5 linked regions of the Sus scrofa genome follow. The protein of the gene in region 2 interacts with the protein of the main gene of each other region in a pairwise test. Links are inferred from orthologs where the notes say so. Each region holds a gene or a part of one and is shown on either strand. Other genes may lie near its edges.

Region 1 (4,231 bases), on a different chromosome or scaffold from region 2:
TGATAAGCAGACTGAAGCACAGAGAGGCTAAGTAACTTGTGGAAAGTCACACAGCCAGCAGCGGCACAGCCAGGTTGCAACCAGTTGAAGAGGTGCCAGAGCCTACACTCTCAACTGCTGTTGCATCAGGCCTCTGAGTTGTATCAGCGTTTTTAATTGCTTAAATTCCTCTTGCATAGCTGGGAGGGGAACACAGCTCCTGGTTTGGAGATAACAACAAGCAGGACCCCCTGTAATTCACTGTGAGATGAATCCATGGGCATAGATTGTGTGACCGCCAGCTGCCCACAGTCCACAGTCAGATAGGACACGGAGAGCACAGCTAATGAAAATGCACACAGTGTTCAAAGAGTGGTCAGATTGGTGGTTGGCTCTCATTTTTGGGAGTGTGCTGGTGTTTGGCTTCAGAGTGCTTGCTTTCCATGCCGCTCCAGGGGGAAAGCTCTGTGTGCCTAAAAGAGCAACAGGCAAGATGCTGGAGGCTCAGAATGTGCTGCCGTAGTTGGGTCTCTGAGGCGCTTGCAGTCTTGTCAGTATAACTCACAGCAGTGCTGGCTGCTCTGGAAATAGAGGGGTTGGGATGCTGTGCAGTTTCTACACATCCCAGGCAGACGCTTCCCAGGGATCATCAGGGTTTGGGTAGCAGCTTGGCCCCATGGCCATTGCACCAGCATCTCTTTGGCAGATGCACCGAGGGTTGCCCCCAACCCGGGGACGTTCTCCAAATGCAGCTGCAGCTGAGCTGGGGAGATGTGTGTGCTGATGGTGCGTGTCCTCTTTCCTCCCAGGCCGCCAAGATGGCTCACCACCTGCAGCGTCTTTTCGGAGGAGGCGGCTGGCACGGAGGCCAGGCTACATGAGAAGTGCAGCTGGGCCCCGGATCAGGTTCTTCTCGCCAGCAGTGGGCAGTCTGCTCCGGGCCCAGGGAGGGGCATGCAGTGAGGAGACCCAGCACTCTGAACCCAGGACAGGACCATGTGGCCGTGACCCTGGAGGCCAGGGGCAGGGTCCCTCGACCGGGACCCTCATTCCCTGGAGCACAGCAGCCTCTGCTTGGACCTCCACGGGCCCCCGAGGCCTGGCTCTGACAACAGGGAGAGGAACCCTGGGTCTCTCAGGGATTCAGCCCAGAGGTGGCCGCGCCCTGCCCAGCAGGCTGACTAGGTCGTGTGGCTCCGGGGACAACATATGCCAGGGGGCGCCACCATCCATGGACAGTTGGGAGGCTCCGAGCCCGAGTCGGGAAGCAGCCTGTGGGAAAGGAGCCCTGGACACCTGGGCCAGAGGCTCTCTATCCCCAGAGGAGGGAAGTGGCACCAACTGCAGCCTCGGAAGTGGCCCCAAGGTCGACCCCACCCCTCCTGGCTCTCAGGATGTCTTCACCTCCAACTTCAGCTTCATTCGCCTCTCCCTGGTCTCTGCCGGGGAACGTGGAGAAGCAGAAGGCTGTCCGCCACCCAGAGAGGCTGAGGCTTCTCATCAGAGCCCCGAGGAGACAGTGGCCAAGGCTGCTGGTGTGGACGGGCCCCATGAACACCCTCAGCTTCTCTCTCCCGCCTCACCCCTCAAGGCTCCTCAGGACCTGGCAGATGCTGCCCAGATGGCGGGGGACAGCCCCAGACTGGAGTGCGAGATGCTTCCTTTGCTGGACATGGACGCTGCCTCCTTCTGCTCCCTGGATCCCTCGAGACCCGAGGGCAGCCACCCTCAGGATGCTGACCTCTGGGACCCACTGCTCCGCACTTGTGAGCCTGCGCTGCTGCACTGCCTGCAGGGCCAGCGGAGGCGGCTGGAGGTGGGTGTGTCCCGAGCCTGTGGGCTGGGATGGTCTCACTGAGGAGGGGGGGGGCCGCAGGAAACGGCGGTTCTGGGGTTGCCCCAGTCCCCACTGGAAGCCCCTGTGGTGACTGGCCATGGAAAAATGTTGCTACACTTGCATCTCTCCTCCTTCTGTTGGAACTCTAATCTGGTCTCGTTCTCATCCTCTGTCCCTTAGATGCTTGCTTCGCTCTCTGTTGGCTTCAGGCTCCTCTGCAGCTTCTGGTCTGGGTGATGCAGGGTTAGCTCAGCCTTGCTCTGTTTTAAACAGGAGAAGGGGGACAGGGAGCCGGGGAGGTGGAGTCAGTCGCTGTGTGGATATAAAGATGATGATGCCCCAAACTGGGGGCGATCTGGAGCTGCTTCTGCATGCGCAGTGCTCATGGCATCCTCAGCAGCAGGGACTACTGATTTTGTTTCTGGTCCTTAAACTTCTCAGGCCCTCAGTTTCCTTATTTAGAGATGCTGACATCACACAAGATTGTTCTGTGGCTCAAGCTGGAATGTGAGTGCTTTGGAAATTGGGACAGGCGGTATAGAAGCAAGTTCCAGCATCATGACTTGCTGTCCACTCATCTGAGGGGGTACAGCTGGGGGTAGACAGGGCTGTTCTACCCTGAGAAGTCCCCAGAGAAACCCGCGCAGAGAGGCTTTGTGGCAACCCATTGGCTCATCCTGTTCAGAGACTGTGTTTTCCATCTGGGCTGTGTGCATGTGTGCACGTGTGCATGTGGGGATATGCATGCGTAAGCAGGGAAGTCGAGTCTCATTAGGATTTGGTAGGAGTACGTGAAAATGTGAGGCTCATGTTCCTTCCCAGCAGTGGATCTCCTTTGCTCTCTACTGCATATCCGATGTTCTTGGCCCCGGCCCTTTTGCCCTGTCTCAGCCTGGCTGTGGGATTTATCAGCCAGGGAGGTGGCAGAGCCACTTCTGTGTGAGACCTCTCCTACCCCCCCCCCCACCCCCGATGACCCTCTCCTTCCATCCTGTCCCTCAGCCCTTTGGATGTGCCCCATTCAGTGCTCATCACATTAATAATCATTTGCTTGTGGGTCCAAGTTCTACACTTGACTCAGACTTTTTTTTTTTTTTTTTTGTCTTTTTAGGGCCTCACTCATGGCATATGGAGTTTCCTGGGCTAGGGATTGAATCGGAGCTACAGTTGCTGGCCTACACCACAGCAACAGCAACGTGGGATCTAAGCCGTGTCTGTGACCTACACCACAGCTCATGGAAATGCCGGATTCTTAACCCACTGAGGGAGGCCAGGGATTGAACCAGCATCCTCTTGGATACTAGTCGGGTTCATTAACTGCTGAGCCATGACGGGAACTCCTCTTAAATATTTTTGGATGCATGATGCCTGGCCTACTGCCTGGTGCTTGATTACTGTTTGTTTTCAGTGAAATAATTTAGCTTGTTAAGATGGGCCACAGGGAGTTCTGTTGTGGCTCTGTGGGTCAAAGACCTGACATAGTGTCTATGAGGATGTGAGTTTGATTCTTGGCCTCGCTCAGTGGGGTAAGGATCCAGCGTTGCCACAAGCTGTAGTGTAGGTCACAGATGTGGTTCAAATCTGGTGTGGCTGTGGTGTAGGCTGGCAGCTGCCACTCTCATTCAGTCCTTAGCCTGGGAACTTCCATATGCTGCAGGTGTGGCCATGAAAAAACAAAGAAAGAAAAAAAAGAGATGGGCCATAGATATCTAACTGACAGATTTCTGTGGTTGTCTGTCTGAGGCCTAAGGAGAGGGGCTGAGAGGCACACATACAAGGATACAGGCACTAGGTGGAGGTTTGTACCATGATGCTTTTCGGACTCTAAATGACAATTTCCAACACGTTATTTCTGAGATCCTTTAAAAAAAATCTTGGCGGGGATTTCCCGTCGTGGCGCAGTGGTTAACGAATCCGACTAGGAACCATGAGGTTGCAGGTTTGATCCCTGCCCTTGCTCAGTGGGTTAAGGATCCGGCGTTGCCGTGAGCTGTGGTGTAGGTTGCAGATGCGGCTCGGATCCCGTGTTGCTGTGGCTCTGGCATAGGCTGGTGGCTACAGCTCCAGTTCAACCCCTAGCCTGGGAACCTCCATATGCCATGGGAGCAGCCCAAGAAATGGCAAAAAGCCAAAAAAAAAAAAAAAAAAATCTTGGCACCATATCTCTATTTCTCCAATTCCCAAATCAGAGTTTTGACCCCAGTCAAGCAGACGTAGAATGTGGTTATAAAGATTGGCTCCCGACCCCACCCCAATAACCAAACAGAGATTTGCCTGGTGGTGAGTCATGGCAGTCAGCCCACAATTCTGCCCCCTGGGTTTTGGTAGCATGAATGTTTTTTTTTTTTTTTTTTTCCTTCCTTTTCACTCCCCTTACCTATATGTAGATTGTGTCCTCCTGAGAACTCAGGGCTT
Region 2 (4,693 bases):
CACAAATCTGGAGACTTTGCCATGACATTAAATGAAAATTCCTTCCTTCCAGTTGCTCAAGCTAACTTGGAATCATCTTTGACTCCTTTACACTCACACCTGATATCCAATCTACCAGCAAATCTGCTGGCTATATTTTCATAATATATCCAGACCCTGACCTCTTCCATTGTTATCCCCCCAGCCCAGTACCTCATCATCTCTCACCTGAACTTTATTTTAGCTTCCTACTTAGCATCTCTGCTTCTACCCTTGCTTCTCCATGGTCTATGATCAGCACAATTAAAGAAGTAATCAATTTAAACAGTCAGAACATGCAACCCATCTGCTCAAAACCCCCTCCAGTGGCTTCCTATCTCCATCGAAAAAGTCAAAGTTTGGGAGTTTCCGTTGCAGCTCAGCAGGTTATGAACCTGACAAGTATCCTTGAGGAGGTGGGTTCCATCCCTGGCCTTACTCAGTGGGTTAAGGATCTGGTGTTGCTGCGAGCTGTGGCGTGGGTTGCAGATGAGGCCTAGATCCCCTGTAGCTGGGGCTGTGGCGCAGGTCAGCAGCTGCAGCTCCCATTTATCCCTTAGCCTGAGAACTTCCATATGCCCCAAGTTCGGCCCTAAAAAGCAAAAGAAAAAAAGAAAAAAAAAATTGTTCCTTCAATCACCTACAGGACCTCCTTCCTCTGTGATCTCATGTTATTCTCATCTCCTGCCACACTGCTATTTGTTAAATGTGGGCACCCAGAGGCTTTTGCACTGGCTGTTCTCTTCACAGACATGTTTCTCCTCCAGGCACCTGCACATTTACTCTTTCCCCTCCTTCAGATCCCTCATATGTTCCCTTCTTGATTAGGCCTTCTCTGACCTTATTTAAAAGAGAATCTTGCCCCTAAAACTTGCCACTCCACATTCCCTTTCCCCGCTGGTTCTTATTTTTCTCTGCAGCATTTGTCTTCACTTACTATATATGCCACATATTTATTGTCTATCTCTCCTTAGCACAATGGAAGACCTATGAGAGTAAAAACTTTCATACATTGTGCTCAATAGTATATCCTCAATGTCCCCTTATACAGTAGGTATTTGATAAGATATTTGTTCAGTGAACAAATGGATAAAAAGGAATATAAGAGCCAGTAACTGAAGAAAGGTCTCCACAGATAGGTGGACAGTGGTGTACTAAGTGAGGCTGGAGAGGTGGAAGGGACCAGATGACATAAGATGACATTTGTAAAGAAATTTTGCCTTTAAAAGTAGGACACACACTGAATGGTTTTAAGTGAAAATGTGAATCTGAATGGATTTGCATTTTGAAAAGATGATTCTGGCTGCTGTGTGGAGAACTAATGGAGAAAGGCCAGAGTGAATAATCACTATTTCACCATTCCTGGCAAGAGTTTATGGCAGTTTAGAAAAGACTGTGCTTATGTAGATGGAGGCAAAGGATGGATTTGAGGGATATTTGGGAGACAAAATTGAGAGTACTTAAAAATAATTTGGCTACAGAGGTATGAAGGACATTAGGAAATCAAGGATAATGCATAGGTTTCAAATTTTCACAAGTGCATGGCAGTGCCCTAAGTGAAATAGGGAACACTGGGAAATAATCAGATTCATAAAAGATACTGTTCATTTGGTTTTAGGCATGTTAAGTCTGAGGTGCTTTTGAGATATCCAAGAAGAAACACCATAGAGATGGGCATAAGAAAGCTAAAAGGTGAAGCTGGATGAAATTATACATTTAAGTCATAGGTGGTGGTGAAACAAAGCTAAAAGGTGAAGTTGGATGAAATTATACATTTAAGTCATAGGTGGTGGTGAAACCATGGCTATGAATGAGATCATACTCAATCACAAAGTAAAAAGGAGACCCACACTTAAGAAACTACCCTATCCTTTGTGGGTTGGACAAAGGAAGATGAGCCTCCCCCCACCCCAAAAGACACAAGAAGGAGTGGCTTTGTTTTCTGAAATCATACTCATAAGAAGGAAGTTCTCATTTTTTAAAATTCTGATTTAAACAAGCAACATTAGAATGTTCTAGGCTTTCCAAATTAAACCAATTCATCAGAACTCTGTTCAAGGATAGGTCACTTTCAGAAACTATCTGGAAAATTCATAGTACGTTTCTCTTTTCTGCTCTTTACTCTTTTCTCTTTGCTGTATTGTACATCAAAACACAAAAAGCTATTCCTCCTGAAATGTATATGATTTTGGCTTATTGCAGTTTCCTGAAATTACTATCTCCCTCACTCTTGGCCTCACCATATGCTGTTCTTTTGACCCTCTTTCCCTGAGATGAAGATTTCCCTGACTTTCCAAGACCGGCCTAAGTGATCTTTCTAGCCATCCTAATAATATCATATAGTACTGTATGTTTAATGTGTGTACTGTACTTTATATATGTATTGTATAATGTTTAACCATTAGTTTAACTAGATGGGAACTGTGCGTTTTCCACTTGTCCAGTACTTGGTTTTTAGAAACTAAGTTTTAGAAACGCATGTATTGTGCAACATGAAAAATTAAAACTAATTTGTTATCAGTCCAGTGATAGCCCTTCAAACCTCAACTTTTCTCAAGAAGAATGACTTCAAACAGCAATATGCAAACAAATTATTTAATCTTTTAAAATTACTAAATTTTAGAGATTTTTATAAGTCTTTTTTCCATATGGTATTCTTAAAGCCTGCAAATATTCATATCTAGGAACACGAGGGATTCTTTTCCCTTCAGTTTTGTACAAAAAGGATTTGACAACTCTCTTTCAAAGTGTGGCACAGGATTTCTTCTGCGCAAATAAAGCCTCAAACAATCCTATGCAATGGCAAACAAAGGTGCACTTACACAGGGATACTGAGTCCATCCCGCGTGAGCCCACCTGACAGAGCAGAAGCAGAGGTAGCACCGCGGAGCACTAGTTTCCACAGCATCCCTCTTGCCTGACCTTATGCAGCTCTTTCCGACCATCCATGTCCTCTCAACGCGCCCGCGGTCTTGGGCACTCGGACTAGTTCTTCCCACGTAGATTACTGATAGTCCCTGGACTAAGGAGTACAGCTCTAAGGAGACGGCTTCCTTTCTAAAATCCCACAGGAAATGGAGGAAGGAAAAATACTGTCAAAGGAAAAGTGTCAGCCAAGCCCACAGTGCTCACCAAGCCAAATCTCTCAGTCAAATCTCCGGCAGCGCTAGCCGTTGGCTCGCAGGGAGCCACAGGCAACGTCGCAGTGGCTCCCGGGAGCTGTAGTTTCTGTCTCAAACAGAACGCGCCTACAGCACCAGAACTACACTTCCCAGAAGTCAATGCGAGGACGCCCTGCCTTCTTAAATCTGGTGTTTGGCGCAATAAAGAGTTTCTATTTTTTCCTCTGATTTTAAATTTTGATTCGAGTTCTTCCAGGAGTTTATCTGTGCCCTCCTTATTTGCGGTTCTTGTCTCGTGTGTGATAATTTCGGCGTATTTCAACTTTTCGTTACCCCCGTTCAGCCCAAAGAAGCCGAACGTCAAGGCAAAAAAAAACCAAAAAAACCAAAAAACAAAAAAAAAAAACGCCCCCCGAGCAGATTCGGTGCCTCTTAAGGCGCATGCGCCCGGCCCACCGTTACGCATGCGTAGCAGCCGTCAGCGGTTGGCGGCCGCTCGCGGGCTCGGGGTCCGGAGGTAGCTTGTTGGAGGGCGGGGCTTTTTCCGATGGCTTTGCCTCAGCGGGTCGCGTCTGCTTGGGCGGGGAAGAGGGCGCAGGGGCAGGGGCAGGGGCGGCTCCTGGCTTGTGCCGGGCGGAGAAAGGGGAGGGGCTGGGGGTGAGGACCCCGTCTCCCCTCCCCGCTCCCGCCCTCTGGGCCGAGCCCCATCGATGGGGCTGGGCGAAGGGGCGGGTTCTGCGCCTGGGGCCCTGCCGCTCCGCCAGCTTCGCGGCCCAGCCCCGCGATCGGGGATTGCTGGGCTGCCCTGTGCCGGTTTGGGTTGGCCGGCAGTGGGCGAGGATACCGGGATTGGAAGAGAAGCAGCGTCAGCCCGTGGATTCTGAATCCGCAGAGCCAGAGACGCGTTCCTCCAACGCCACCACCGAGACAGAGGCTGCACGAGACTGCAGCCCCTGGGGAGCGCCAGGGTCTCTAGCCGCGGCGTCCAGCGAGCCAGGGTTCGGCGAGCCTTTCCAGCCAGCGCCCGGCCGGGCGGGAGGAGCTGCGGAGGGCGGGGACTGGTGCCGGAGGAGGGGCGGGGTGGGAACGCTCCCGAGAACACCGTGGCTGCACGGACAAAAAACACCGAGTGGCTGCAGAGCGTTCAACTGTATCCAGCCTTTTGGGGCAGAGCACGGATTTGACAGCTCCACGGCTTGAGGATATCCGCTGACCCCGAGAGACGGAGAGGAACACTTCCCCGACACTGTCCAGCAAAGCCAGCTCTGTAAGGTTTCAACTTTCCAACTTTTTTTTTTTTTTTTTTTTTTTTTGTCTGACTAGAAGACTGCTACTCCGGGTAGAAGGAGAGGGCGAGCTCTGTCTGGTAGATCGAAGACATTTCTGGTACCAATGTCACCCAGGCTTATGTTTTCGTGACGATTCGATTTTTCTGATTTATTTCTTACATTTCTCGTTTTAAAAATACGAAGTGCTGTGGTGGACATGCTGAAAGATTGAAGAGGGCAGGAAAAAAAACTCCAGTTGTCATGGCTGAAGGAGAGAATGAAGTG
Region 3 (3,413 bases), on a different chromosome or scaffold from region 2:
CCGCTCAAAGCGGTTCGCCCGGGCAGACAAGCGGGGGAAATTGCCCCGCTGGATCCAGGAGCACCTCACAGACGCCAACCTCAACCTGACCGTCGACGAGGGGGTCCAGGTTGCCAAGTACTTCCTGAGGCAGATGGCACAGCCATTCCACCGGGTGAGCCCCGGGCGACCGAGCTCCTCTTACAGGAGGGACCCTGGCTTGCTTTCTCCTTGAGCCCCAACACCCCCCGCCCCTGACAGGTTTGTGTGCGCCCATGTGCCAGGCCTGGGGGCTGCAGAGGTCAGCGTGCGTCCAAGGGGCCTCTGGAAAGCCGGTCCTGCTCCGCCTTGGATGCAGCCCCTCTGCCGGCCTGTCCTCTGTTGACAGGAGTGGTCCGCTCTGCACTGGACATGTTTCCAGATTCAAGCATCCTGTCCCGTGGCCTCAGGCGGGCCACCTCCCTTCACTACTGGCTGCGGCGTGGACCCTGGGTCGGATGTGCGGCAGCCGTCTGACCTGCTTTCTCCCTCCCCTGCAGGAGGACCAGCTGGGCCTGTCCCTGCTCAGCCTGGAGCAGCTCGAGTCAGAGGAGACGCTGCGGAGGATAGAGCAGATCGCGCAGCAGCTGTAGCATGAGCCAGGCGGGGCCGCCAAGGTGTGCGCATCATGCCCAGTCTTACCTGGCCCCGGGGAGGTGCTGGAAGGTCAGGCGTGCATTTTGGCTGCCACATCCACAGCCTTTAATGGCAGGAGAAAGGACAGTGGGAGGCTCCCCTTCCCTCCCCACCCTCTCCCATTCCTCCCGAGATGCTGCGGCCGCGTGGTCTTGTCGCCTTTATCGAGGGCCAAGGTCCTGGGTGCTGGCGCTGAGGGTCCGGGAAGCCTCACTTAGGTGCCGGCTGGAGAACTGGAAAGAGGCACGGGGGGTAGGTGGGTGAGTGAGGCCCGGACCTAACTCTGCTCCAGCTGCCACTAGGGCTACTCCCTGGCAGCCTGGCCGCCACTGGCTGTGTCACTCATCCTCCTGTCCCCACCTCTCCCGCCTCTGCCCGGATAACCCATCCAGGCCCCCGTCCTGGGGTCCTTTCCCGTGCCATCCCCCCCTTCCCTTGCCTCTGGGCCCGACCTCGTGGTCCCCCACTCCCTCCTTGCCCCAGGGACCCCCCTCACCGGGAGCCCAGTGGCCCTTGGCCCATCCACGTTCAGCACGTTGAGGGACACGGCTCTCTTCATCCTGGAGGAGGTGGGGCACCCGTGAGTCTGGGCGTGTCGGGCTCCTGTCCTGGGGCAGACCCTCCAGCACAGGGGTGCTTGTATGTGTTGCGGGGGAGACGGGAGCCGTGGAAGGTTCTTGAGCAGGACAGGAGGGCTACAGAGGGGGCGTCTGTCCAGGCTCTCCCCCACCTGATCCCACACTCACCCCGCTGCCCCTGCCGCCGCCTCCCCTCGGAGCCGGGAGACCAGCTTCTCGCTTCCCCGCCGGATGGACTCCCGGAGCTTGGAGAAGGAGCTGCTCCGCCGAAGCCTCTGGGAGGGGGGCGCCAGTCAGTCCTCCCATCCAGCCGGTCCACCCCCCCATCCCCCGGGAGCCGAGCGAAGCCCCTCCTCACCTGCTGTTCTGCACCCCCGGCTGTGCCTGTTTTCAGGGCTCCTAGGGAACAGATGAGGACATGGTAGTGGGGACCCTGAGCAGCCTCCTGGGGGAGGGCGGGACTGGGGGCTCACCGAGGGGCGCGGGCAGGTCCTCCCTGCGGAGGATTTCTTTGTACAGCTCTTCCGCCTGCTGGTACTTGTTCTGCTTCAGGTAGGCTGAGGCCTGCGGGGAGGTGAGGGCCTGGGTGAGCTTGGCTCAAATCTGGGAGCTTCCCAGCCCCCCCCTGGGAGACACCTGGGCTCACCCTACACTCCAGGCCTCAGCCTGCAGCAGAGTGGGCTCGGCGCCCGACCCCACCGCTTCCCCCAGGGCAGCTGCCTCCCTGACTCAGAGCAGGAGCCTGCTCCCCCTCGACCTTGAGCCACACCTGTCTTTGCCTCCGTGTCCTCGTCTGCAGAATGGGGCGGCAGGAGCACCTACCTCGTGGGGCCCTTGAAGAGATGGGCAGTACAGGGCAAGTGCTAGGAAGGGGTCTAGCTCAATAAATGCGCTCATCTGCTCCTGGCTGGTCTCCGCGGCTGCCTCGTCGCCTGGCGCTGACCTCTGGGCTGAGCAGCCTTGCCTGCCAGGGCCCAGCTCGGAAGCCGAGTCTCACGGGACCCCTCCAGGGCCGGGCAAAGTCAGGTATCCCACCCTCGAGCGGACGCCGGGCCCTGGCTGTCCCCCCACCCCCAGGGGGGGAGCGCACTCACCAGGTTGTTCTTGGTCTTGGCCACGTTGGGGTCGTGGGGCCCCCCCAGGGCCTCGTAAATGCTCAGGGCCCGGGCGTAGTGCCGCTCCACCTCCTCGAACTTGCCCTGGTTCTGGCAGAGCAGGGCCAGGTTGTTGAGCTGCTTGGCCACATCCGGGTGGTCGGCGCCCAGGACCTAAGGGTCACGGGGTCACATGTCACTGGGGTCATCCAGGGCTGATGGGCCACATGATGCCAGTGGCTGGAATGAGGACCACGTTCACGAATCGGTGACCACAGGACCTCTGTGGAAGATTCTAGGAGGTCGGAGTGGGAGACAGGGGCTGCACCATCAGATGGGATTAGTCAGGTCAGAGATCATGGGGGTCCAGAACCTCATGATTATACGTCAAGGATGGGGTTGCACTGGTCACCTGGGGTTGGAAGATCAGGAGTGGGGTTGGGAGCTCAGGACTGGGGGGGAGGGGGGCCAGGAGGCGAGTCGCAAGAGGAGGGGGTCAGAGCCAGGAGTCAAGGCCCAGTGGAAGTCATGGTAGGTCAAGGGTGGTGGGTCAGGGGATTGAGGGCTCTGGGTGCAAAGTGGGAGGGGCCCAAAAGGTCAGAGGTCACCGGAGCAAGCAAGGGTCCTGCCGAATTGAGTGTTTCAGGATCAAATGGGAAGGGCTACACACGACAGGGGCTCCCAGGGAGCAGGACCTTCTCACGGATCTCCAGGGCGCGCTGGCACAGGGGCTCCGCCTCCCGGTAACGCCCCCGCTTCCCGTAGAGGACGGCCAGGTTGTTGAGGGTGGCGGCCACCTGGGGGTGTGGGGTAGGCAGGTCAGGGGTCAGAGGCCCACAGCGCACAGCCCTCCCTTCCTCCGGGGCCCCCGCTCACCGCCGGGTGCTCAGGGCCCAGGGTCTGCTCCCGGATCTGCAGGGCATCGTGGAGCAGGTCTGTGGCCTCTTTGTACTTGTTCTGGTCCCTGTGGGGCGGCCCAGGGGTGGAGGCGGTTAGGCCAGGCCGGGTAGCAGGGCCATGGGCTGGGCTGATCCAAGCATGGGGGGCACCCTTTGGGGGTCCCTTCTGGGTGTTCCCACACCTCCCA
Region 4 (4,676 bases), on a different chromosome or scaffold from region 2:
TCGGCTGACTTCATAATGATCACAGTGTAACAATTAGGGGCCAGCCCCCCCTTGATCTGAGGCTCCTGCTGCAGGGGGGTAGCAGGCAGTGTCAGAGTGGGGAGACCGAGGAACAGACCGCACTGCTCCTTGGGCCCCTTCCAGCTCTGAGCAGCCTCGCCCTTCTCTGAAGATCTCAAAACGTTTCCTGCCTGTGCCCTTGGGACCTGCCCAGGGAAGGAGATGGATGGTGAGACAGAGGCACCTGGGCATGAAAGGAGGCTGGTGATACTGGAATGGGACTCGGGGAGTGACTTTGTCTACAGGCTCTATATCCAGAAATCCTAGGCAGCAAACCTCATATGTCTTAGCTGTGCAGGCACAGGAAAAACCCAGATGGTTCATAGCTCACATATACCCAGGTTTACTGCTAAAACTCTAAATTCTACTGAGCCCTCACCCCAGTGTCATCACGTCTTGAGGGATAGTGGGTGCTTTCAGAGGCAGACAGAAATGGGCCAGATGTTTCTGTTCTCAATGAAACCACTTCACAGTAGGGAAACATATACACAACTTGGGGGTGGGGAGGGGGCGCTGTTAAAACAGCACTGGCTTTGCACCGAAATATAAATTCGTCTGCTCCAAGTCCAGCTCTGTCCTTACAGGCTGTGAAACCTTTGGCAAGTGACTTTACTGCACTGAGCCTCAGTTTCCTCGTCTGTAAAATAGGGGTAAATACAGAACCTACCTCACTGGATTGTAAGAGGATAACCTTGTAAAGTTGTTTTCTCTCTTCCAGAGGGTAAGGTTAAGAAAAGATCTTTCAAAATACCAAATCACATGGTGTTCCCATCGTGGCGCAGTGGTTAACGAATCCGACTAGGAACCATGAGGTTGCAGGTTTGATCCGTGGCCTTGCTCAGTGGGTTAAGGATGTGGTGTTGCCGTGAGCTGTGGTGTAGGTTGCAGATGGGGCTCGGATCCCGCGTGGCTGTGGCTGTGGAGCGGGCTGGTGGCTACAGCTCCAATTAGACCCTTAGCCTGGGAACCTCCATATGCCATGGGAGCGGCCCTAGAAAAGACCAAAAAAAAAAAAAAAAAAAAAAAAAGTGTGTGTGTGTGTTCTATATACTCAGGGTTTTTACTGTTGATCATTCAAAATTACTTTTATTTGGAAAACAGAAGCAGATGTCCTCTCTGCGCGCTGCTGCTTTCAAGCACCTATCAGACGACTGCTGAGGATCTGATTAGATTCTTTGTCACTGTCTTCCCTCACCAACAGGTAGGTCCCTGAGAGTAGGGATGGTGGGTCCCATCCAACGTTCTGGACCAGCGTTCATTATGGAAAGTGGCACCAGGGAGGCTGGCGAGGAGGCGTGATGGGGAAAAGGCAGGGGACCCAACTTCGTGCCGCCCACGCGGGGCCGCGGGAGCCCTCCCGTCCGCCCGGCGGTCGGCAGGTGGCGCCGCAGGCCAGGCCCTGGAGCCTGGAAACCGGAAGCGGCGGCGGGGCCGGGCAGGCAGGCTCCTGGGCGCGGGAGACCAGGCAGGGTCCACACCCTGTGCGCCGCCTCCTCCCGACGCCAGCCCCCAGCGTTTGGTCCGGAAGGGGGTGCTGCGGGGTGTCTGGAGAGGGCCTCGCGGATGCCCCCAGGACCAGCGGCCCCGGGGCCTCCAGGGAACATGGGCGTGCTTCGGGCCGGACTGTGCCCCGGCCTCACTCAGGACATGGTCCAGCTTCTGCAGAGCCGCGGGATCAAGACAGGTGACCGTGGGCGCGCGCCTGTGCGGGCCACATGGCTGGGCCCAGCGCGGAGGCTGGCCCCGGCCCTGGCCCACTGGGTGGGGCCCCTCCCCTGCCTCCGACGCCCACAGCCTTCTGGCAGAGCTTGGGAGGGTGGGACTGGGCAAGCCCCGCTCCAGGAGGGCTAGAACCCCCCACTGTGGGCTAGGCGCCGCGCCAGCCCCCGCGGCTCCGCTAGTTCGCGTAGGCGAGGAAAAGTCACGGGCGGGAGTCTGGGGCCTCCCTTGCGCGCATCAACCCCGCGTGTTTTGTTTTCAGTGGTGGACCTGGTTTCTGCAGACTTGGAGGAGGTAGCCCAGAAATGTGGTTTGTCTTATAAGGTGAGCTGGCGATCTCCACACTCCAACATGGGTGTCTCTAAATGCCCATCCCCGAGCAGAGTGTCCCCAGAGATTGATAAGGGGGGGGCTAGGAGACCCTGGATGGCCCCCTCCCTTGGCGGGTCGCTGCCGCACACTCCCGGCTGCTCCGGCAGCTTCCTGAGTTGCCCCGCCCCTTCCGCAGGCCCTGGTCGCCCTGAGGCGGGTGCTGCTGGCTCAGTTCTCCGCTTTTCCCTGCAATGGCGCTGATCTCTACGAGGAACTGAAGACGTCCACGGCCATCCTGTCCACCGGCATTAGAAGGTTTGTGTGTGTGTAGCTGGGGCAGAAGGCGAGAGGCCAGAGGCTCTGGCTGGGCTTTTGATGCTTGAGAAAGAGCAGGCTGCTTCAGCTGTGGTTGAAGGAGACACGGGAGGGGGGTCAGGATTTCTGAGTTATCTTACCCTGTACAGAGTTTCTCTGACTCCTAACCACTTAGGATGCATAATTTTGGGGGTGGCTGTCTTGTGCATATAGTAGGATGTCTGGCAGCATCCCTGGCCTCCACCCCAGTAGATGCCAGTTACACCCCTCTCCTTCATAGGTCATGACTATCAAAAATGGCTCTAGCTGTTGCCAAATGACCCTGGGGGCCAAAATTGCTACTGGTTGAGAATCACTGTCCTGTAACACAAGATGTCAGCACTTCCACAGATATTATTCCACAGATCAGAGCAACTTTTCTCTGGCCCTTTCTGCCCTTTCACTTAAGGATGGGGCAGGGAGTTCCCCTTGTAGCTCACTGGGTTAAGAACCTGAGGTGGGTTAAGTATCCATAAGGATGCATGTTTGATCCTTGGTCTTGCTGAGTGGCTTAAAGATCTGACATTGCTGTGAGCTGTGTAGGTCACAGACGGGTCTTGGATCTGGTGTTGCTGCGGCTGTGGTGTAGGCTGGCGGCAGCAGCTCCAATTTGACCCCTAGCCTGCGAACTTTCATATGCTGCGGGCACAGCCCCAAAAAGAAAAAAAACGATGGGGCAAGAGAGCACAACTGAATACCATTTATTTGAGTGCCTACTATATACCAGCCAGGGCTCCAGCCCTGGCGCACTTGATCCAGAACCTGGTTCTTTCGCTGTACTCTGCAGCAGGAAGGGACAGGAGTGATTTATGTTCTGCTGTGCAGTTTGGAGAGGGAACGCGTTGGAAGAAAACAGGCGGCTTCTGGCCAAGGAAGGCTGACCTCTTTCCTGGCCTGTTTGTACAGAATTTGATAAAGAGCACTGCCACCACCAAGGTCTTTGGATTGGTTTGGCCTTTGCTCTTTCCCGTGCATGTCCTCTTGGCAAGGTTCATATAGCATGGCGCCTGCTTTCTGCAGCTGGGGGTCCAGGTCTGTCATTCATCAAGCACTGGCCAAGTGCCTATAGGTGACAGATGTATGCCAATGATACGAATATGCGTGAGGCAAGGCCCTCGCACTTAAGGAGTGTGGGGTCTGGTGGGTAGAGAAAAGCAAGGGACAGAAGAGAGGGGTGTGGGCACGTGTGTGTTGGGGGTGGTGACTAACAGGGAGCAGCCTTGGCCTTTGGGAATTTATAAAACCAGCCCAGGCATTCCCACTGTGGTGCCACAGGACCAGCAGCATCTTGGGAGCCCTGGGATACAGGTTAGATCCCCAACCTGGCACAGTGGGTTAAGGATCTGGTGTTGCTGCAGCTGTGGCTTAGGATATGATCCCTGGCCTGGGAATTCCATGTGCCATGGGGCGGTCAGAAAAAAAGAAGAAGGGGGGTTCCCGTCATGGCACAGTGGTTAACGAATCCGACTAGGAACCATGAGGTTGTGGGTTTGGTCCTTGGCCTTGCTCAGTGGGTTGCCGAGAGCTGTGGTGTAGGTTGCAGACGCGGCTCAGGATCCCGCGTTGCTGTGGCTCTGGCGTAGGCCGGTGGCTACAGCTCCTATTAGACCCCTAGCCTGGGAACTTCCATATGTCACGGGAGGGGCCCTAGAAAAGCCAAAAAACAAAAAAAAAAAAAAGAAGAAAAAAACCAGCATATACTGAAGCAGCATTTCGGAAACAGTCAGGTGGAAAATTGGCAGAATGGCAGCTGCCATGGGTCACTGCAAGGGACTTCACTGTCTGGGAGGCTCTGTGGAGGAGGCAGGCCTTGGGCAGTCTGGAACGGATGGGCTTTCTGAGCACTCACCAGGAACCAGACACTGTGACCTGAAATAACTGGATACCTCCTTGCATTTATCTTCACAACCACAATGAATGTGTTCCCCTGAAAATCACCATCCTGTAGATGAGAAAAGCGGGACAGGTAGTGACTTGCTCAAGATCCCCCAGCTAGTAGGTGGCAGACCAGGCCCTTGAAGTCATGCCTGTCACATTCCTAAGTCTAAGAACACAACTCTAAATAACACGTCTGCCCTGTTGCCCCCCCTCCGGGTGGGAGGCTTTCTTGCGCAAGTGGACGTACAGGCGTGGCGTCGAGGTACTCCGGTGGATGGGGCCAGGGAGGCTGGCAGCAGAGAGCCCCGGGAGGATGTGGCAGGGGAGGGCATGTGAGCTGGTTTAGGGCTGGT
Region 5 (4,231 bases), on a different chromosome or scaffold from region 2:
CCGAAGGGTTCCAGCCCACTGTCAGTCGCACCGGCTCTTCGGAACCGGTCAGGCCCTGCCGACTGCCAGCCGACCCGGAGGGTCCAGAAGGTCCGGCCCACTCAGCTTCCCATCCCTCGAGCCTACTCGCCTCCCCTGTCCACTCCTTTGTGTTTCTAATGAAAAGCTTCTCGAGGCCAAGGGCACCTTCTTCCATTCCCCAGTGGATCTGAAAATGCCAGTTTTTAGGGCTAGACCCCAGGGGAGAAGGCAGGGGAGATTTGAACCCTAACATCAAAGGCCTAGTGAGGAGGTGGAAGGAGCAGAAAACCCTCCCAGGCCTTTGCCCTGATAGCAGGTGGTCTTGGTGTCTCACTACTAGACCGTAGGTTCCAAGAGGCAGACCTTCAGTAGTGGGAACAGCAAGGACTTTATTTCAAAGAGGAAGGAAGTCAAAATCTAAATGGCCCAGAAGTGATCAATTAAACTTTTTGAACAGACCAAGGAGTGGAGACAGGATGATTGTGGAGAAGGAAAGGCTGGCAAAAAGATGTAGCACAGGTGACCTTGGCAGAGGAAGGCGGGAGACCTTCCTCTTTGCACCGGAGACACTCTGTCCACTCAGCATTTGTATGTGCAGTATGTCCAAATTTTTCTTCTCAAACACCTGTGTTCTCTTCTAGTTTGAAAAACAAACAAAAAAACCTGGGAGTTCCCATTGTGGCACATGGGAAACAAATCCGACTAGTAACCATGAGGTTGCGGGTTCAATCCCTGGCCTTGCTCAGTGGGTTAAGGATCTGGCGTTGCTGTGAGCTGTGGTATAGGTTGCAGACATGGCTCAGATCCCAAGTTGCTGTGGCTGAGTAAGCTGGTGGCTGCAGCTCCAATTTGACTCCTAGCCTGGGAATCTCCGTATGCCACAGGTGTGGCCCTAAGAAAAAGCAAAACAACAACAACAAAAAACGCCAAATGTGTAATTCTGTACCCATGATCCTCAGTAAAAGTTTGTGTACCAGGTGAAACCCTGCCTCATTTATGCATGAATACAGCAGGTAGTTATTGAGTGCAGTGTGCAGTGTTCCCTGGCAGATCTTGGAATGGTGAGCAAAGCACACACTTCTGGTCTTCGTGAAGCTTACAACAAAGTAAGGGGGAGACCAACGTTTTACACACACACACACACACACACACACTGCAGAGCACAAGGGGCTGTGAGACTATTTCATGGAGGACTTTGCTTAGTTTTTTAAGGAGGTAGGGGGAGAGGCTAGGGAACGCTGAAATCTGGTGAGTAGAATGAGCAGGTGTTGGGGGCGAGAGCTGGAGACAGTGTGCCTTGCAAAGAATTTGTGGGAATCCTGACCCTCCCCACCCAGTCCTCCCTAATCGCCCGATCCTGATGCCCAGATTTTGAATTTGCTATTGGTGGCAGTGCCTTTTACTCTCAATCTCCTTTTAGGTTCTCCTGATCCCAGATGGGTACCTGTATCTAGAAACCTTGAGATGCGCCACAGATACTGAGAGCTCTGACACACTTATTTTGTACATTAAATCCTATTATAAAATATAGGCTTGTTGTGAAAAGTCAGCACTGATATATATGATGTGGCAAGTAAAAGCCCCTGTCACATGCTGTCTTATTCCTCAGAAGCAACTATGCTTTATGATAGGACATAGATCTTTCCAGACCTTTTTTTATGTCTTCCTGTATTTGTGTTATATATTATTTATATACATAGTTTTTGCAAAAATAGATAATACCATGTATTTTACAGTTCATTTTTCTTTCTATTCATTCTCTCTTTCTCTCTCTCTCTCTTTTTTTTTTTTTTCTGGGCCATGTCCATGGCATACAGAAGTTCCTAGGCCAGCCAGGGATTGACACTGTGCCACAGCAGTGACCCAAACCACTGCAGTGACAATACGGATCTTTACCCACTGCTCTACAAGAGAACTCCCTCATTTTTCTTTCTAGTTAGTATATTATGGAAACATTTTCATGTCTTCTTTATAGATCTGCCAGTTTCTTTTAAATGCTGCCAGTATGCTATTGAACCTTCAACTTTTTTTTTTTTTTTTTTTTTTTTTTGGCTCCACCTGCAGCATGTGGAAGTTCCTGGGCCAGGGATCACATCTGTGCTACAGCAGCAACCTGAGCCTCTGCAGTGACAGTGCAGGATCCTTAACCCAATGCACCGCAAGGGAGGTGCTAACCTTCTTGAGTTTAAACAGTCCCTCAATGTACCGCAGCATCTAGGTTATTTTCTCATGTTTGGTTATCATGTGATGAACCTATATTTGAATTTCAGCTGTGAGCTCTAAATACACAATTGTTTTGGGACTAGTACGTGCACAGGCTGCTCATGGGAGAGCTGAGGCGCTGTAATTTCTGAGCTTACAGACTGAATAGATGAGAATAGTCTGTGTAAATTTTTTTATGGCCACACCCATGGCATATGGAAGTTCCTGGGCGAGGGATTGAATCCCAGTCATAACTGCAGTCTATGCAGCAGCTGCAGTAATGCCAGATCCTTTAACCTACTGCATCTGCCGAGGATCGAACCCACACTTCCACAGTGACCCAATCTGCCGCAGATAGGTTCTTAATCCACTGAGCCTCAGCAGGAACTCCAATGTGTAAATTTTTTTAGTAGGGACTTTTAAGACTCAGGGCATCAGTAAGATGCTATAGATTAGGTTTGGTCTCTAACTGTCAGGCAGTTTCTTAGAAGCACTTAGTACTTTTTGTTTGGAGGAACCTAAGTTGTTTTTGATGCCAAGCCTCAAGGTCTACTTTTTTGTTGGTTTGGTTGGTTTTTTCAGGGCCACATCCAAGATTTATGGAGGTTCCCAGGCTAGGGGTTGAATCAGAGCTGCAGCTGCCAGCCTACGCCACAGCCACAGCAACGCGGGATCCAAGCCACGTCTGCGACCTACACCACAGCTCATGGCAACTCCAGATCCTTAACCCACTGAACGAGGCCGGGGATCGAACCCACATCCTCATGGATACTAGTCAGGTTCGTTACTGCTGAGCCACCACGGGAACTCCCACGGCCTGCTTTTCTACTGCACCGTCCCACAGATTCAGTCTGTTCCCTTAGGTGTGCCCTTTATTCCATCCCAGGTGAGGCCATACTTCTCTGATGGGGTAAAGACCAGGAGTTTCCAGATGAGAAATCAGTCTGCCTTTAACTCTGTGCCTCTAGAATAGGGTAGATTTGCTGACTTAGCCTCTCGCTCACCTCACCCTTTGGGCTTTGCAGGCGAGCTGCGCTCTCTGCGGGAGGAGATTTCCCTTTTGGAGCGTGACAAAGAATATGAACTTAAGGAGATAGAACAGGAGCTGCACTTGGCCCGGGCTGAGATCCAGAATCTGCGGCAAGCAGCGGAAGATTCTGCGACCGATCACGAGAGTGACATCGCCTCCCTGCAGGAGGATATCTGCCGGATGCGGAATGAACTCGAGGACATGGAGCGCATCCGGGGAGAGTATGAGATGGAGATCACCACGCTCCGCGCAGAAATGGAAATGAAGACCTCTGACCCTTCCAACAGCTTAAGTCTCTCCGACTTCTCTGAGATGCAAGGTATGAGAAAGCAAGCCGTCCTCCTGATCTGTCGGTCAGATCCAGCAGAAGGAGTTCGTGTACAAGAGGATGGTGGAAGGCAGGCTTAGGTCGTGAATTGAGAGCCCCTGGAGAAAACCTCCGGGTTGGACCCAAGACGGTAAAAGAGAAAAACTGGATGTCACGTAACCAGGTCCATAGTGGCGTTGTGATAGCACCGTGGAGCTGCACCCTGAGAATTCTTGCTCTGAGAGCCATTGGCATTTGTTGATTTGCCCGTGCTAAAGCCCTTCCTGGGGAAGTTTCCAGTTCTGGGGTGGGCATTATAGGGGCCGGTCACCTTGGAAAACTCCTCCTCCTGCTCTGGCATCATGGTGCTTTGCCTGGGTCACATTCGGGGGTGGGTGGAGGCTCCAGTCCTCCTCCAGCGTCCCTGGCTGATAATTTTTACTGTTCTTTAGCCCTCCCAAGTAGAAGTTTTAGGAGGCAGCAAAGCAGAGCGTGAGACAGCTGGAGAGGAAGAGAGGTTATTTCCAGTAAAACATGAGGTACTCAAAAGCGAGAGCTCTGCTCTCAGCGAGCCTCCCAGCTCGTTGCTAGGCTTCCTGACATCAGAGAGTTTGCCTTTATTCTGAGGCTCGATTTATGATCTGGGTATAATGGGAGGCCCTGTGCTGGCC

Evidence for each region.
Region 1: the proteins of CEP57L1 (region 2) and DISC1 interact in a two-hybrid assay, tested with the Homo sapiens proteins (2 studies listed by BioGRID and IntAct). The link is inferred for Sus scrofa from reciprocal best matches to the Homo sapiens genes CEP57L1 and DISC1.
Region 3: the proteins of CEP57L1 (region 2) and KLC3 interact in binary tests that used the Homo sapiens proteins (3 or more experiments, as listed by UniProt). The two-hybrid records come from large-scale screens. The link is inferred for Sus scrofa from reciprocal best matches to the Homo sapiens genes CEP57L1 and KLC3.
Region 4: the proteins of CEP57L1 (region 2) and RAD51D interact in binary tests that used the Homo sapiens proteins (3 or more experiments, as listed by UniProt). The two-hybrid records come from large-scale screens. The link is inferred for Sus scrofa from reciprocal best matches to the Homo sapiens genes CEP57L1 and RAD51D.
Region 5: the proteins of CEP57L1 (region 2) and CCDC136 interact in binary tests that used the Homo sapiens proteins (3 or more experiments, as listed by UniProt). The two-hybrid records come from large-scale screens. The link is inferred for Sus scrofa from reciprocal best matches to the Homo sapiens genes CEP57L1 and CCDC136.

Annotation. Positions count from the first base shown.
Region 1 is NC_010456.5:58,908,105-58,912,335, reverse strand, and holds part of DISC1 (disrupted in schizophrenia 1 protein), read left to right. Parts: intron 1-788; 5' UTR 789-856; coding exon 857-1,795; intron 1,796-4,231. UniProt on the Homo sapiens protein: Involved in the regulation of multiple aspects of embryonic and adult neurogenesis. Required for neural progenitor proliferation in the ventrical/subventrical zone during embryonic brain development and in the adult dentate gyrus of the hippocampus.
Region 2 is NC_010443.5:75,169,530-75,174,222, reverse strand, and holds the start of CEP57L1 (centrosomal protein CEP57L1), read right to left. Parts: upstream 3,231-4,693; 5' UTR 2,968-3,230; coding exon of another isoform or gene 2,964-2,967; coding exon 2,841-2,963; intron 1-2,840. Other genes in the region: SESN1 (sestrin-1), read left to right, coding at 4,670-4,693. UniProt on the Homo sapiens protein: Centrosomal protein which may be required for microtubule attachment to centrosomes.
Region 3 is NC_010448.4:51,733,043-51,736,455, reverse strand, and holds the end of KLC3 (kinesin light chain 3), read right to left. Parts: intron 3,291-3,413; coding exon 3,203-3,290; intron 3,124-3,202; coding exon 3,022-3,123; intron 2,501-3,021; coding exon 2,327-2,500; intron 2,139-2,326; exon of another isoform or gene 1,797-2,138; coding exon 1,706-1,796; exon of another isoform or gene 1,632-1,705; coding exon 1,591-1,631; exon of another isoform or gene 1,508-1,590; coding exon 1,401-1,507; exon of another isoform or gene 1,215-1,400; coding exon 1,151-1,214; exon of another isoform or gene 888-1,150; coding exon 816-887; 3' UTR 703-815; downstream 1-702. Other genes in the region: ERCC2 (TFIIH basal transcription factor complex helicase XPD subunit), read left to right, coding at 11-154, 519-611. UniProt on the Homo sapiens protein: Kinesin is a microtubule-associated force-producing protein that may play a role in organelle transport. Plays a role during spermiogenesis in the development of the sperm tail midpiece and in the normal function of spermatozoa.
Region 4 is NC_010454.4:40,052,708-40,057,383, forward strand, and holds the start of RAD51D (DNA repair protein RAD51 homolog 4), read left to right. Parts: upstream 1-1,469; 5' UTR 1,470-1,623; coding exon 1,624-1,744; intron 1,745-2,041; coding exon 2,042-2,103; intron 2,104-2,287; coding exon 2,288-2,406; intron 2,407-4,676. UniProt on the Homo sapiens protein: Involved in the homologous recombination repair (HRR) pathway of double-stranded DNA breaks arising during DNA replication or induced by DNA-damaging agents. Bind to single-stranded DNA (ssDNA) and has DNA-dependent ATPase activity.
Region 5 is NC_010460.4:19,813,540-19,817,770, reverse strand, and holds part of CCDC136 (coiled-coil domain-containing protein 136), read left to right. Parts: intron 1-3,248; coding exon 3,249-3,572; intron 3,573-4,231. UniProt on the Homo sapiens protein: May play a role in acrosome formation in spermatogenesis and in fertilization.